Linked DNA regions of Drosophila melanogaster. The protein of the gene in region 2 interacts with the protein of the main gene of each other region in a pairwise test. Each region holds a gene or a part of one and is shown on either strand. Other genes may lie near its edges.

What was found. Proteins that work in one complex are often made in the same cells at the same time.
Region 1: the proteins of CG13544 (region 2) and CG13066 interact in a two-hybrid assay, tested with the Drosophila melanogaster proteins (one large-scale study listed by BioGRID).
Region 3: the proteins of CG13544 (region 2) and CG5024 interact in a two-hybrid assay, tested with the Drosophila melanogaster proteins (one large-scale study listed by BioGRID).

The regions. Positions count from the first base shown.
Region 1 is NT_037436.4:16,269,957-16,275,120, reverse strand, and holds CG13066 (uncharacterized protein), read right to left. Parts: upstream 2,213-5,164; 5' UTR 2,155-2,212; coding exon 2,143-2,154; intron 1,944-2,142; coding exon 1,674-1,943; 3' UTR 1,513-1,673; downstream 1-1,512. Other genes in the region: CG13067 (uncharacterized protein), read right to left, coding at 3,469-3,696, 3,770-3,781; CG34248 (uncharacterized protein), read left to right, coding at 4,323-4,619.
Region 2 is NT_033778.4:23,137,303-23,143,664, reverse strand, and holds CG13544 (uncharacterized protein), read left to right. Parts: upstream 1-3,087; 5' UTR 3,088-3,186; coding exon 3,187-3,257; intron 3,258-3,312; coding exon 3,313-3,381; intron 3,382-3,446; coding exon 3,447-3,845; intron 3,846-3,899; coding exon 3,900-4,207; intron 4,208-4,269; coding exon 4,270-4,526; 3' UTR 4,527-4,585; downstream 4,586-6,362. Other genes in the region: Klp59D (Kinesin-like protein at 59D), read right to left, coding at 1-1,499; CG30192 (uncharacterized protein), read right to left, coding at 4,654-4,682, 4,741-4,821, 4,888-4,990.
Region 3 is NT_033777.3:25,807,715-25,813,287, forward strand, and holds CG5024 (uncharacterized protein), read left to right. Parts: upstream 1-3,381; 5' UTR 3,382-3,490; coding exon 3,491-3,988; 3' UTR 3,989-4,061; downstream 4,062-5,573. Other genes in the region: CG17770 (uncharacterized protein), read left to right, coding at 4,275-4,769; Acam (androcam), read left to right, coding at 4,930-5,376.

The DNA.
Region 1 (5,164 bases), on a different chromosome or scaffold from region 2:
GCGGGGGGTAATTATAGCACATGGGCCTAGAAGTCCCCTTGTTGGCCAAGTTAATACGCGTACTGCTAATTGGAGGTAGGTTGGATATCATATTCAATTTGAAAAGAGCGTCCAGTATTAGCTAGATTACATAGAGATACGATACAGCTATACATTAAGAACTGAGTTGCATCCAAAAACCATATATATTTATACTTACTTATAAAGTTAGAAAACAAATATTTTGATATCCTCAATTCAGACACGGTATAGACTTACCTTAACTGAATACTACGACAAGAGAGCATTTGAAACTAATTTTATAAACACACTTACCTAAAGTACAACATTTAAGCATTAAATTAGACTATTTGACAATATTTAACTTATGTTAATTTAAGCTTACACACCCCACCCCCAAACTCTTTCATAGAGTACCCACTCCAGTAAAGCCTGGGAAACGGAACGTTTAAGTGCAACTTCTGGGGCTTCGGCAATTATAAATCGCCGCATGTTTCGCGAGGGGGCAGCTGATTAATGGGGCGTGACCATCGAGACAAAAGGCAGCGTTAAATTTTAATTTAATTTTCCGACTACAGCCACAAAACAAGTAAATTAGCTGCAAGAAGTGCAACTGCACGTGCAGAATGAGGCGTTTTTCAGCTTTTACAGGGCTATAAAAAGCGTTGAAAGCATCGAGGAGAATTGAGAATCAGCAACTCAAAGACTTGAATTAATTTGCAAAATGTTGTTTCTTAGTTAAATGTCGTTCGCTTGATTTGATTTTCATACTTTTCGACGGTTGCACGCGGCGTATGATTAATGCCAGAGTTGGCGTGGTGGGTTCGTTTGAGGCGTGGCTTCGTTCAACTTATCGATGGCGGGTGATTAGCAAAATGCAATTTAAGCGGCGCCCCTCAATGTAGTACCATATTCGCAGTGGCGATGGAAATGCATTGACCTCTAAGCCAACACACACGCAACTTGCAATCAAAGTGATAAACAATGTGCCGCGAGCTGGCCACATAGACCTCGAAGGGTCAGGGGGGTATCAGGGCTAAGGGGGTGCGAACTGCGTAAACAAAGCTCAAGGATTGCGTCCTGGAACGTGGCGAAGTGTCGATGAACCAAAGTGGGCGCACAAACAGGCCAGAGTTGGGCACACCCTTGGAGGGCACTCTGTCATATGGGAGCTGTCTAATGAAAATGGTGGCCTGATTTAACCTTAAACGAATTCATTCTTCTCATCATATAATAGTTTAAAGTGCTCTGGTGACCATTGCAAATGTTAAAAATTAAAGCTTGCAGCACTCGTTAATAATTCAAATGAAATCCCTTATCTTGAACTTATAATTCTATGTAATACCACAAACTAAAGCTATATATATATACTTCCCATCCAGGTATCTATTGCAATAAGACGGCGCTTCCCAAGAGCAACCTGCACTATCTGTTTCCTTTGAAGAAAAGTCCCGATGCCCACGGCAAGATTAAAATTAAACGGAAGGAATAAAACTCGATTCACTTCTCAGTCGGTCAGTGCGTGGGCCTGATGCATTGCGTTTTAATTTCTGTTTGCCTGCGAGCATGTATCTCCATCTCTGTTTGTATCTGTATCTTTCGCCGTGGCAGTGACGACGTCCGGTGGACACGTGCGGCAGCCTTGCGGAATCCCTTTGCCATCCTGGGACATCTTACTTCTTGAGGATGGTGGCCACAGGGGCGGCGGCATAAACGGCTGGCAGGGCGGCGCTGTGGGCCACACTGTGGGCACTGTAGCTACTGGCATAGGGGGCCACGTAGGGGGCGTAGGCAGGGGTGTAGGCGGCGGTGTAGGCGAGGGGTGCGGCAGCGGGCAGGGAGCTGTACGCCAGTGGAGTGGAGTAGGCCAGAGGGGCATTGTAGGCCAGCAGACCAGGATTGGCAGCAGCGGCGGCGAACAGGGCGCACAGGACAACGGCAAACTGCAGGATAAAATGCATACAAAAAGTACATTAAAATACACATTTACAAGAAGTTTTATAAATATAAAAAATTGTTTGAAAAATCTACACTGTTTGATAATAGTTTTATTTCGAACACACGCGTTTTTGTTTGTATTTAGGATTGTGAATTGTTGCATTTTTGAAACATTGTATCCTTAAAAAAATGTTGGAAACTTACGAATTTCATCATTTTAATTGATTTGGTTGTGTTAGCGTCGAAGTTAGACTTCTGATTGATGTCTTGTGCTGAGTTCGAAGTGGTTTATATAGGTAAATATACATAGCATCCTTGACAAAGCCCATTGAAAAAGCAAAAACCCAGCAAGTTTAAAGCATTTCCATCACGTACCAGGGCTAAAACAGGGCCAAACATTTGGTCTCTTTTTACTGGCACAATTATAATGTTGCAGATTTGTGTTTGTCGATATGCCTGCGAATAGTACGCATTCCTTGTGAATTTATTATTGAAAATGAATGTTTTTTCCCGCTCATCTTGAGCATTTCCGCAACTGGCGTCAGCAGCTGTCGTTTGCCGATTGAATTATCATAATTTAGCACTCAGTGCGTTTTGTGGGCTGTGAACGTGCGTGTCATTCCAACCGTCTTGGCCATCTCCGGAGTTCGGCTCACTCTGTACGTTTCAATTGTCAGCCACTCGAACACGCCACTTTGCATTCTAATCAGAGATGCAAGTAAAAATAGAAGCGGTTTATCCAGTTTCGAAGGACGTCATCGAGTTGAGCCCTTGGCTTAAGGTTGAGGACACCAGAAACAGGGAATCGAAAGCTTTGCATAAATGGAATCGCGAGTTCAATAAACCGGAGGTCTCGTTGACCCTATTAATCCAATGCAAACATGGACATTCCACCACGAAGAACACAACCTCCTTTACACTTCCTTTTTTTTTAACAAATAATAGGTTTTAAGTCCAAAAAATAATTTCCAATGTATCAAAGCAATTTATTGATACAAAGCTTAAAAAAGTCATTGATTCCTTCCAGCCCACCAAAATTAAAAAATGTAGGGGCTAGCAATTTATGAAACTAGTGTGAGAAATATTTACTGAAAATATGATATCACCTACTTTATAAATAATATTTCCATTGGATTTTAATGTATACCAAATTTAGTACTTAGTACCCATTGCAAAAGAGTACTGCCTAAAAGTATGTGATTATACATACTCCCTTCACATTAGAGATGAATAAGTGATGCAATAAATTATGAACAAGTGGTATACGTTTTACGCAAAATGCAGTATTTATTTCAACAAAAATATTCCCTTTCTTGAAGTGGTATGTCCTGTTCCCATGACTTAACTTTCAGCAGTCGGCAGAGGTGGGGAAATGTAGAGTCTGTCGAACTAACACCAGGGATGTAAGAAGATTGGATGTTGCAGGTGGTTAGCAGGAAGGTGTGTATCCTTGTTGCAATAGATGTGTATATGTTTATATTCAGGTCCAGTTCAGCAGTCAGGTTAAGATCACGATCCATTCATCCAGTCTTAACGGTAGTAGGCGGCATAGGGGTAGGCGGAGTAGGCGGACGCATAGGGGTACGTGTAGGCGGAGTAGGCGGCGGCCACTGGAGCGGTGTATGCCGCGGTGTAGGCAGCCGAGTAAGGAGCAGCTGCCACATAGGGAGCGGAGTAGGCGCTGTAGGCCAGAGGAGAAGCGAGCACCGCCGGCTTGGCAGAGACGCAGGCCACGATGGCGAACAGGCACAGAGCGAACTGAAAGGATAGGAAAAGTGCTTATGAGTAATCCGTTGTTTGGTGGCAAGTCCAGCTATCCTGCGATCCTTACGTATTTGAACATGTTGGCTGTTTGGGTTGGTTGTGAACTGTTGGTTCTCAAGTACTAGACTGATATCTCCTAGTGCCCGAGTACTCGGGTATATATAGCAGAATCGGTCGAGAAAATTCCATTCCAATTCCCCACATTGAAGCGAAGGTGATGCGTGGCCATTGGTATGCACATCCATTCCCAGATCGGTTCCAAGTCCATTTTGAAGCCAGCCAAGGAGAATCTTGAGCATTATGGCTTTGCACTTTTGGTTTCGTTTGGTATTTTTAAAAGCGTGACGAAAAGCGAAAAACAAATCGAATGTGAGTCCGTGTTTTGCATACTAAAACGTAGCTGGATATTGATCCATCCATCGGCAAGTCTGGAAATGACCCACAAAAACTGCCGGGTTGGGTTCAGAAATTTATAAAGCTGGGTTCTGTCGCTCCAGTCATGTTTATTTCGTTTTCAGAACGTTGAGCTATCAGATCTTATCAGCTCGGATTAGCTATGTACAGGAAATTAGTAAGTCTCAAGCGGTTATCCGCCGAGAAGTCGATGCACTTGCTCAAAGATGATGAGGCCTCGCCATCGGTGGCCATTTCAGGTGGTGCTCCTCCTTCTGATCCACCTGGCGGCCGCGGGTCAGATCCAGGATGCTGCCGAGGAGATCGATGTGCCGCCTGCCCATCGGGCTGCTCCACCACCGCCCCGCCAGGCAGCTGGAGCTGCTGTTCCCCCACCACCACTGGGGCCACCACCACTTGTGGGCTCTGCACCGCCGCCGAGCTATCCTTTGTTCTACCCAGCTGCGTGGCTGCCATTCGGACGCTACAGCAACTCCATTCCCGTCCACATAGTGGCTGCCTAGGGGAGCGTCCTCCCACTGGCCATAAGGTGGTCAAAGGACACTGTTGTCCCTCCTGTTGAATCCTTTCCCTGTTATGGTTGCTATTTTACTCGTTATTGCCCGCTTTAAGCCAGAAATATATTTTTAGACACGCACATGCATAATTATTTATTCGGGTTGACGCAACTTTCAGTCGGCAATTTTTAAATGGCCAACACGTGATTCTCCTACCAGAGATGCCGGTTACCTATACATTTCGAGAAATCTATCACTTTTGCCATCTGTGATTTGTCAATGGATGATGACGCAACTGAATTGGTATTTTTTCGGGCTACATTTCCGCATTTTAAGTGGGCAGAACAGACGCTGCCAGAACAAAAGGTTTAGAAAAGGTGACAGTAAAAAAATATTAATTATAAAAAACGTATATGTTTAGGTGACTTTCTTTTTAAATACTATCAAGAACTTTTGTTGCCGCCAAAAGATTGAGAAATAATAATTAATAGTAGAAAATCCATTAAAAAGTATTAATAATATATAACTATAGCTTTTTTGCTATTGAAAAA
Region 2 (6,362 bases):
GCCAGCAGAGATTTATTGATCTCGGCTCCCTCGATGCGAGTTTGACGATCGGCGGATTGCGTATCCGCCCCGCGTTCATTGCCCGCCAAGTCCACAAAGGAGCACTTGCCGTGTGGGCCCCAGGAATCGGGAAAGTGGAGTGCTATTTGAAAGACGGCGTGGGAACGCGATGACTTGGCGTTCGCCGATGTTTGGCCGGAAGTGCGCTCTTTGCTGCCGTGCTCAATCAGTCTCAGGACATCCTCCACTTTGGTCACCGGCATCTCCGTTAGGCCCACCACCACGACCTGCTGCCTGGCATCCTCTAGGACCCGCAGCATGGGCTTGTTGGGTAGCAAGAGATCGAACACCTTGGTGCCATAGATTTCGAAGAAGCTGCACGTAATCTTGGCACCCATTTGCCGGTACTCCGGGCGCGATACCTCCTCGAAGACATCGCGAGCTGCCATGGCGTAGATCCCGGTACCGCAATCCTGAACCTTTCCGAAGAATTCTCCGCCCATGGTGTGCGTTTTTCCGCTGCCAGTTTGTCCGTAAGCGAAACAAGTGGCATTGCCGCCCTCGAACATGGTTCTGATCAACGGACGAGCAGTGTGATCGTAGACCAGCGCATTGGAGCACTCCTCGTCGAACGTGTAGTCGAAACGGAATTTGTGGTGCTCCAGGAACTTGGTGAGATCCACCTTGAGGCGCAACTCATGGACGATCAGGCTGTCGGCACTGGGAACTGTGATGATGTCCAGGTTCTTGGAGTTCTCCTCCTTGCGACTCATGGGTCGTTTTCGCACACACACCGTAATTTGCTGAACAGTGCCTCCATTGGGATCCAGGCATCGAAGTGGAGAAAAGATCAAGGTGGAGCGGTATTGGCGCAGCATCACCGACACCTCCCAGTTGGGATTCCCCGGATTATTGCGACGCAGTGCATCCTTCTCCTGGAGCTGTTCCGCCTGGCGAGCCCTTCGCTTCTCCCTCTGCTCCTTCATGCGATTCACCTCCCTCACTACACTGGAAAAGCGTTGGTTGCTATTGTTGCCACCCTGTGACTTGCGACCTTGGGTGGGGCTGGCATCCCGGTCCGGCCTACCGGCTGGCACACGAGGGGTGTGCGCTCTACCCAGCTCATGATTTCCCGCTCCGACCGCTGCAGGATCCGTCTTTCTGGTGGCAATTTTACTGCGACCGTCCTGTACTCTCATGCGCTCTGCATACGGATTTCCAGTGTGGGTCTTAGGTCCTCCGGTCGGACTCGAGCCTCGAGGCTTCGGCAGCAAGGAGCTCGGTGGCTTCGATATCGGCGGTTGATTCTCCGCGAATATATGATGGTTGATGCCAATCAGCGTGCTCAATGGCACTTCCTTACCCTTCACCACCGTGCCCTCGGTCCATTCGCCCGTGATGGAATCCCGTTCCAGGTTCTTGGCAGTGCAGACCACCTGATGGACACGCCCGTCACTCCTCTGGAAGAGGAGCTGCTCGCCAATTTTGATGCGATCCATGTCTGGTGGCAACGGATTATACAGCTCTCGATTTATAAAAGATGTATTTTTTTTAGGATTTTCAGATTATATATATTTTTCTTGATTTCCAGTTCACAAGCGAATGATGACCAGATGTTGCCTCTGTAATTTATTGTCGAGTGTGAGTTTGAGGGGCTACTGACAATCGTTCAAAATCTAATAACGAACCCTTACCGCCTAGCCTACTCTTCTCTTTTTAATACCTATTTTATAAGGGAGCCTTCTTAAAGTGGAACTACATACATATACATATAGGTGGCTCTTGAACCTTTTCCTTCCGCTCTCAGAACAATTTTATGGTTAACATATTTGGGGTGTTGGCTCGTAAATTCCTTGGGTTAGCAGCTTCTTTTGATATATGGCTCTTGGCTCGTTACGGGTTAGTACTTTTCAAATTAGATTTCGGCTCCCTACCTTTTTCCTCTTTTGTGTGTCATAAAGCGATGGCAGGACCTTTTCGTATTTACACAAGCGTGCACATTCCACAAATAAATAGCTCTCGTTCTGTTGTCTAGACATGTGATTGGAGCACAATTAAAATACATCTGCTTCGTCGAGGCAAACCCTTCGAGGGATCAAAGAACGTGCTGCTCCCAGTCGGTCAGGTGTAAAAACTAATTTACGGCAATGCCAGTCCAGCAGCCCCAAAAACCGCAATCGAAACCCCAAGGTGAACGCTTGTGTTGAGCAGGGGGGCATTCTGCCAACTGCGACTGTGACTGTGACTGTAACTGGGACTTTGACTAGCATGCTTTTCTGGTCCAGTTTTGCTATCAGCTACTGGGTCAGCACGGGCTATATGGACCATAAATCTCATGGCTGCTGCAATCAGGGCCTGCAATCGCAATCTGCATCAGAAATCAGCGAGCAGTGCCAACTTGTCAGGGCCGCATAGATAGCGACCAAACTGGAAACTGGAAATGGCGTCAAGGGCGCCATAAATGAGAATTTCCGTTTCATTTCCGACCGTTTGTTTGCGATTGTGAATGTGAATGGCAGTGTGTATGTGTGTGTGCCAGTGCGGTTCATTTGTGGCCCATAATGAGCTGGCAAAATGTCGTGGCTCTGTATCGATTTTCGTTTAAAGTGCCGGCCAGGACCACCTAATGGCTTTCAGTGTCCCGAATTTATGGCAACTTGACCTCGGCCATTTGTCAGCATTAGAACACAATTGGATAGCATGGCCGTTGCAGTCAAGGGCATCATAAATGGTCGACTGCCAACTGCCAATATGGGTCCTTCCATTGGTCCTTAAGCGAGCTTAAGACCACAGGCATCGATACAATTCAATTAAATACCGCCTTGGAAAATTCAAGCCAGTCTGCAGAATATTTATGCCAACTCGAGGTGGTGGAATAGACACATAAATCTGTTTTCTCCCGACGCGATAAGCGGCAAACATGTTGATGCAAAGGCGAAATAAAATATGTCGCCTAAATTGAGACCAGGATGCAAAGCCCGAAGATTTATGTGGATATAATCGCTGGAGGCCATAAATTATGGCCAGCAGCTAGACGGAAATCTACGAGTCATCGATTTTCCACCGAGATGTCAGTCACAGCAAACACTTTGTTCTACTAAAATATGTTAATACACACTGTACACAAAGTTAACACTAAACATATACACTTAAATTAGGAAGAAGTAGAGCGGTTTATTTTTCAGGATGTTCTCAGGACTTATACCCATGATGCAGCAGACTCGGAGGGCCACGGTTCCACTAGGTGGGGACAGCCGGTAATCATATCTATAAATATGTGTGAACTTTTATTCATCCGTCCTGTTTTTACAGAAGTGGCAACACCGAGTCCCAAATTGGATCCAGTAAATCTTCTAATTGCAGATTGCACCTAATTTCGCGGTAAGTCTACTACATACTGTACACTTTTACACACCTTTTTGCAAAGAATTGAAAACCAATTTCAGAACCGGAAAGCTTCTTCTGGACTACAAGCAATACAAGGCAGCCCGAACTATCCAAAACAACTGGCGGAAATTCTATTTTCGAAAGTATTTCAAGGATCTAAGAAAGGCGGTCATCACGATTCAGCGCTGGTGGCGCGGATTCTCGGTCCGAAAAAACCACTTCAGGTATGTGGAGAACCTGCTGCAGAAGCGGGTTCAGGATCACCACCATCGGGCGGCCACCAAGATCCAGGCCCTATTCCGAGGATGGAAGAGCCGGCGCACCATTCACGATCACAGCAAATTGCTCAGGAAGCAGGTGTGCGCCGCCGAGGATCTGCTCAACTGCGTGGCCTTCAAGCTGCACCACCTGCTCCGCACCTTCGCAATTCCAGGTGTATATTCGCTCAAGAACTCAAAGTGAGTATGCCCATATAAGTGGAAATCAATTTACTGAAATATCGCCACCAACAGCTGCATGTCGCGAGTAGAGAAGCTGCTGGCCAGCTTGCATTTTCGCTTCCACAATGGAAGGGTTAAGACGCAATTGGCTAAAGAACTGGCCGATCGAGGAAAGGATACGGAAACTTTCAAGAGGAGTAACAAGTTCAGCAAAGTCCCATTCGAAGGAGCCCGCTATTGGAGCCAATGCAAGCCAAAGTGCGAGGCCGCCCTGAAAATGTCCAAGAATATTGAAAGGCGCATGTACAGAATCATCGAGATTTACGATGCTTCACAGAGAGAAGCCCATGCGGCGTTGGTCGAAAAGAATAGGGCGTACAGTAAGCTAGCTTCTAAATCTTCTAATATATAGTTTTTGAAAATATATAAATTCATTTCACAGGAAAGCACAAGGGGCTTATGCAGAACATCAAGAAATCGGCGGAGAAGAGTAAACGCGACTTCTGCGGCGATGTCATCGCCAGTATGAGACGCTGGAAAATTCTGGTGGACAACGATTTGACTGTGGACAAGAACATATTCAAAAACCCGCAAAATTTGGAAAGGTTCGTTGCTGAAATATCGCAATATGCAAATGAGTTCGAGAACTGCACCTGCTATTGCCGCATTCCCGTATTCACCGAAATCTATTGCGGCTAAATGTCATTAAAACCAGTAGTCTCGTACCAAGTAGTGAAAATAAATACAATTTTCTAACTAAAGATTTTATTAGTTTTGCTATGGAACCATTGACTGCTCTGCAACAGTTACAAGTATACGGATTAGATCAGTTGAAAATCGCATTAAATATATCGACTGCGGAGAAATTAGTATATTAGATGCATTCCGTATCTAAGTTCGTTTATCTTCTCACCAAATACGTTGCCGAAAAATCGCAGAAGTTCGGTGGCAAACGAGGGTCTTTGATAATCGGTCCAATTATCCGTCATCTGATCTGTTTTGGAATTTATCGAGTAATCATTTAGGTGTTAATCCTTGTTGGCTTCGGGCTATTTCTCACCTAAATGCTCGCAATCTAGCCGCTTGTTCAGGTCGAAGCTGTCAGCGCCTCCGAGGGGAGGAGCCACAGTCTCATCGATGTCATTGATACTCGGATCCGCCATGGTGAAGTAGAAATTTCTATGAAAACTCACAATTTGGATTTAAATTTTAATCACACTTCAAAGTGTTTACGGCAGCTTTGATTTGGAGTTGGGGAATGGGTAAGGAGTTCTAAGAGGTAAAGCATGGATTACTTGGTTTTGGGATTAGTTCTCAGAGTAATGTATTATAAGGAATTTCCTTCCCCAGAGTGTTTTTTTTTTTAAATACAGTGATATCAGATGTGCGCATTCAAAGACACAAAACATGCAATTTTCCCTACCAACAGCTGCGAGTTACGAGCCAAGTGTGCGATTTATGCCATAAACTTTTCCGGCCACAACATTTCAGATCCGGATAGAAGGCATGCAAATACGGAATGGAAAACGGAATGTGGGGCGGGATTTTCTCGAAACCTGTCCCTGAACGAGCATAAATTAAGAGGCCAGTTGCCGGTGCTTTTAATTAGACAGTGAAACACGGCTTCGTCTGGCCAATGGCCAGGGGTTCTCTTTCTGGCCAGAACATCAAAACAGGGCTCCGAACAGCAGGAGACTTGGTAATTGTATGGCTGGCCTTCATCATCGCCGGCTCCATAATAATCACCATCCTCAGATATGCAATTAGAGGACAAACGAAAAATGTGTCTTGGTCAGACGCTGTCATCGTCATCGTCGCCCAGGGATAAATACATATTTCCCAGACTCCGCAGCTCCATGTGTATATATACTTATATTATATACAAATGAAATTAACCATATTCATCAGGCCCACAACTAAATGCAACATTTTCGGCCGCTAATGACGAGCGTTGTCGTCGTCTTTGACAGCAACTTGTGTCGCCCTTGGGCCAGGTTCTTTATCACTTGGTTAATTACTTATGGCTCCCACCTCCCCCGATCCTTTGGTTCAGCCCCCGCAATCGTTGGTCCTCTCCGGCGACGAGTTTCGTTTAATTTGCGGTTGACATGACAGCTCCCTTGACTTGTTTCACTGGCTTTGTTAAAATGAATCTCTCAGTCTGGCCAACAGGTACACTTGCAATCATATGGTAATCACATAGTTAAGTTAAGTTAAGTTTTCATGGACAGCTAAGCAGGAAAGTTAGGTCAAATATTTTTAAATATATTAGATAAAATGTATTTCGTAGCCCCCAAACTCACAGTGCAGACTTCGAAATGAGTTCGAAGCTAGAAGCAGAGATAGCTGAAATGAGTACAGCTAAAAAAAAAATGCACTAATTTAAGCATATTAAAACTTTTTTGCCAAATAGTAAAACCATTTGACAGGGCTGCCGAAACTTTCTCATTTTTTTGTACAGCTTTTCGGCCAAATTCCGAGCAGCTTTATAAACATTAGGAAAGTAGGCTGACGATGGGGGTTAAGCCTTCGCAA
Region 3 (5,573 bases), on a different chromosome or scaffold from region 2:
TATTATTCAAGAATTTTCGTTATAATAGGTGTAGGTTAAGAGACTATTTATTTAAATCCCCATTAATAGAATATAAGTATCTAGTTAAACACGATGTGCCATAGAAATATATACCCTGACCGTATTCACATGCAACAAAAGTTAATTATACTATATAAATAAACAGAGGTTGACAGTGACTTCTGTTTGGGCTATTAGGCTAATGGGCTTGCACAAAACTTTAGCCGGCCCAAAACAAACGAGCCAACAAACAAACCAACTGCAGTAAAAACAAAGCGTGTAGAAATAATGTGCTAAATGAACAAAAGCCCCACTTCCCTTTTTGTAGGGGGCGTAGAAATACTTGCAAAATACAAATAAAATTAACTAAAACTCAAACTCAAAGCAAACTCTGAGCTAAAGTCCAACACGGGGATCCATCCATTGTTGTTATTGCTGTTGTAGTTGTTGTTTTGGGCCAAAAGCTTACCGGGAAATTTTTGGAAAACGCTCAACTCTGAAATAATTAAAAACTAATTAAAGGGGCGGACGAGTGGTGGGCATGTGGCAAGCTGTTGTAAAACTTAATTAACTAAATGAGTGCAAGCGCAACAACAGCTAAAACAAAATAGCCATAGAAGTTGTTGTCCAAGCACACACACGAGGCGTATGAGTAATTTAATCATGTTTCATGCTGTCCTGGCCAAGTGAAGTCGGTCCAGAGCGCTGCGTTTGTTGACACCCACAAAATGCAATTTGCGCCACAAAAGCAAACAAAGAAAATCTTAGAAAATGGGGGAAAATACGAGGCGGCAAGCAAAAGTCAAACAAAGTTATATTCCAGATTGGATTTTAAGTTTTCGGATTAGTTGCAGCCTGGCAGATGCTTTTAGCATAATAAGAGCGAAAGAAACAAAACAGGGGAATGCGTATGTTTACCAAGTTGTAAAATTCTTTACTCCTTAAAATTGAATAAAACAAAAAATATCTGCATCCTCAGTTTATTTTCCATTTGAATTGTTTATTAAGCTCTTTAATATACTTAAAGATATAACTTTAATAATAAATCGGGATAAGGGACTTAAAAATGTTGTATGTAGTTTAAAGAGTAAATGACTATTGGGTTTGCTTGTAGTATAGATCGAGGACGTAGTCAATAAATTTACTTTTACTTTCGATTTAAAGACGCTTTTCCTGTGGCTTTTACTTGTTGTACTCCCAGTCGTCACCTTGTCACTTCACCTCGGGGCAACATTCTGCTATTGACTTGCATATTTGCGTTTCCACTCCAGTTTAATCCACCCACCTCCGCCATCCACCTCACCTGGTCTGAAAACCACTCCACGCACGTGCCATCAAAGTGAAATAGAAACAAACAGGAGAGGCAATGGGATGCCAAGGATCCCAGGGATCCCAAGGAGCCAGGTTTGTTCTACGCTTTTTCCTTTGCCGTCTGGCTTAAGTACATTGTTTGCCCAGGCGCTGACTCTGGGTATATATAGACCATACAATGCCCAAGGTGAAAAGCGGGCTGATATCCATAAACAAGGACCTCTAGAAGTCGGACTTCATGTTGGCCCCCGATGAAAAGCGACAGCTGCAACGCACAAGATTGAAACCGGAAACAAAAAGGCAATTCAATCCGGCATTCATTTCTCACAAATGCCTCCGTTCATTGTGGGCCACAACTGATTGCAACCGGTGGCTATAATTCATTCACATAGATGCACTTGCTACTGAGCTCCGTCCCGGATTCCCATACTGAAAACGCTTTGGCATAGACAAATCTGCGACTCGAATTGCAACCCGCGGTTATTGAATGGCATTACTTTGCAACTGGTCGACTGGGCTCCATATTTGCGATATCCAGCTGCTGGACGTCCGTCTGCCAATTGGATTCCAAAGGCATCCATTGTGTGGTCATTGGCCAGACCCAGCCTTTATATGCTTAATTGAAACGTCGCATGTCAGTATCAGATTGGTATTCCGTGCATCCATGCGTCAATCATCTATTACTTCTCCATTAATCATTGTATTGAGTTGGGTTTCAATATTACAACGTAGTAGAGACGTAAAATAAATGTAAGTTTTATTTGTACAACTGTTCCAAATATCTAATTTTCCAACTGATCTAGCTGAATACAAGAAATTCATCTGCATTCTCCATTCAAAATAATACGAATACTACTTACCCGAGCGAATATACGTAATACTATATGAAGTTGTGGTTCCAAAACTGGCATAAAGGGATTTGCACATGAAAACCCTTTGCATGTGTGTCCTGTCCCACTACAGAAATGCAAATTATCCAAATCCCCCAAAGGTCTGTTGCCATTTCGATTGCGGCTCGGCTGTTGCTATATCGTCCTGTTTATGCCTGATTAAAGTCAAACAACAAACATATTCTGAGCTGCATTTACCAGACAATCGTATAAACATATACACATGTGGTCATCAGAATAGAATTTATTAGTTGGGAGATCTACAAATCTGCCAATTATTTTAAGCAAATTGTTTTTACTCTCCTTTAACGCAAACAACTTTTATTTATTTAGTTAGTAGCCCTAATTAATATATTACCTGCTAAGTAATACTTGGAACTATTGTTTTCCATACAAATATATAATCCCGCATCTCTGGCCCGAAAAGTCCTCTCTAATCTATGCAGAGAAATGCTTGACAGTGCCTTGTTGTGTGGCTCAACTTTGGCCCCAATCCTAAATCCTTTGTGTCCTTCGTGGCCAGGATTTGCTTCTCATTACCAAGAAGCCCCCATTGTTCGCTCCACTGGGAGGAGCACGTGTGAGAAAGGTTGATGGCCAGGGACATGGGTTTGTGCAGTTTGGTTCTCGCCTTCTCCGCTCCCAAATTATGCAAATTGCTCGAAATTTTGCATTGGATAATTTCCCTATTTGCCCGTAATGCTCAATAAAAAAAAAAAAAATACAAACACAAAAAACATTTTATGACCCAAGAGACCAACGATGGCAGCAAATGGCTGAGCAGAAAAAATACTGAACAGTTGTATAAATGCACCAACAAAAATAAAAATAATATAAAAACAGAACAAACTGCGACGCATTTAATTAAAAATGTAATTACCCATGCTTTTCAACAGCCACATTGCTCGAAGCGGTAGCCAGAGGCTATGAAAACATTATTCGGAAAATTGTTGCAAATTTAATTGTTAAATCCTGCTATATTTTACTGCGGTGTTACTGCATCACGGAGCAGTTGTAGTTTTTTCCATTTCACAAATTTATCTTACTGAAAATGAGTTTAAGAACCATGTCAGAAAAGAGCGTGGGGCAACTAACAAAAAAAAAATTTTAAAAAACTAACTAGTAATCTTTTGTTGTCAATGCCTTGAATTTTCCACAATTTCAGTCTAAATGGAAAACTGTCAATGAAAAGACAATATTTAAACACAACTATTTTCGAAAAACTAAATTTTAAAATTCATCTTTTCGGGAAATCCAAATTTTAGCCCAAGGTATACTTACAATTTGCCATGGATGACTTTGATTTCAGTAGTCCACCTCCGGAGGTACGAACAGTTCATACCCACACGCTGAATGATGAACAGCTCAAGGATTGTGAGGCGGCCTTCGCCCTCTTCGACGACGATAATGCCAAGGTCATTCCGATCAAGTTATTGAGAGATTGCCTGCGAGCCGTGGCCCACAACCCGCCGGAAAACGAGATACAGGATTATATAACCGAAATTGATACGGATGGATCCGGCGAGCTTTATCTCAGTGATTTCCTATACATCATGTCGAAACGGTACGAGAATTTGACCGTCGAAGATGAAGTTATCCTCGCTTTCAAAGTCTTCGACAAAGATGGATCTGGCTTTATACACGAGAATGAGTTCCGTCAGATAATGACTGAATATGGCGATGAAATGGAAGAGGACGAGATCGAGGAAATGATACGTGATGCCGACGCCAACACGGAACTGAAAATCGACTACGTTCGCTTTGTGACCATGATGATGGAGACGTAACACTCTCTTTGAAAAATAAAAAACATAACCGATTGTAGATCTAATCAATAAATTTCAAAAGCATGGCCAATGGAATCGAAGATCTTGAAATATCGGATACCACCAGTTTGGACTATTCTTTAAAAAAAAAAAAAAGCCAATATACAATAGATAAAATGATAACAAGAGTAGGCTTTTCTTGTTATTAAATTATAAATATGAAGTTGTGAACTAAAGTTTGTCGAAAATTTGTAGTGAGTGTTCAGTGACCCCAAAATTTTCCCACCCCCAACCCCTTCCTTTGGCCATGGATTTCGAATTCCTTACTCCGCCGCCAGAGGAACGGACCATTCGCACCCACAATCTGACCGAAGAACAGGTCAAGGATTTGGAGATTGCCTTTTCCCTGTTTGACGACCAAGACACTAAGGTTATTCCTATAACAAATCTCAGGCAACTAATGCTGTCTGTGGCCCACTATCCCAGTGATATGGAATTGCAGGAAATTCAGGCCGAGATCGATGCTGATGGATCCGGTGAGTTATATCTCAGCGATTTCCTTCACATCATGTCTCAGAGGTACGCAAACATGTCTACCGAGGATGAAATTATAGCTGCATTCAGAGTCTTTGACAAAGAAGGAACCGGCTTAATATCTGAATCGGAATTTCGTCACATAATGCAGAACATGGGGGAGCAATTGACGGATGATGAGGTGGAGGAGATCATCCGTGATGCAAATTCTGATTTGGAAGGCAATATAGACTATGTGCGATTTGTCAGAATGATGTCCACTACATAAGGAAAAAGCAGGCTTTAGGGGTTGGGAACCCGACCTGTCAGTATCAGTATCATCAAAACAGTTTCGGCTCATTCCCTTTCGTAAATTCCAACAGTCTATAGCTCTGCAAGCATTTAAAAATATCTCGATAAATACCGAAAATCTTTGAAAATTTATCAAGATGTCCGAACTAACGGAGGAGCAGATTGCCGAGTTCAAGGATGCCTTTGTCCAGTTCGACAAGGAGGGAACCGGCAAGATCGCCACCCGTGAGCTGGGCACATTGATGCGCACCTTGGGCCAGAATCCAACGGAGGCCGAGTTGCAAGATTTGATAGCTGAGGCCGAGAACAACAACAATGGCCAACTGAACTTCACTGAGTTCTGCGGTATAATGGCCAAGCAAATGCGGGAAACTGACACTGAGGAGGAAATGCGTGAGGCATTCAAGATTTTTGATCGTGATGGCGATGGCTTTATATCACCAGCTGAGCTTCGCTTTGTGATGATCAATCTGGGCGAAAAGGTCACCGACGAGGAGATCGATGAGATGATTCGCGAGGCTGATTTTGATGGGGATGGCATGATCAACTACGAGGAATTCGTATGGATGATAAGCCAGAAGTAGTACAGCTACTTTAAATGAAATAAAAATATTTGGGGTCACTGCATAAAAAAAATCGTGTATTTCTCTTCAAAAAATACAATTTACACTTCTCTGCGGTCTAACTATTTTCGAACACTTTTTAATACGCCCCCAATTATTTCAATTATATTTTTGCGGTGTGCTAGTTTTTCCTTTGCCTAATTCGGAGACCGAGAATT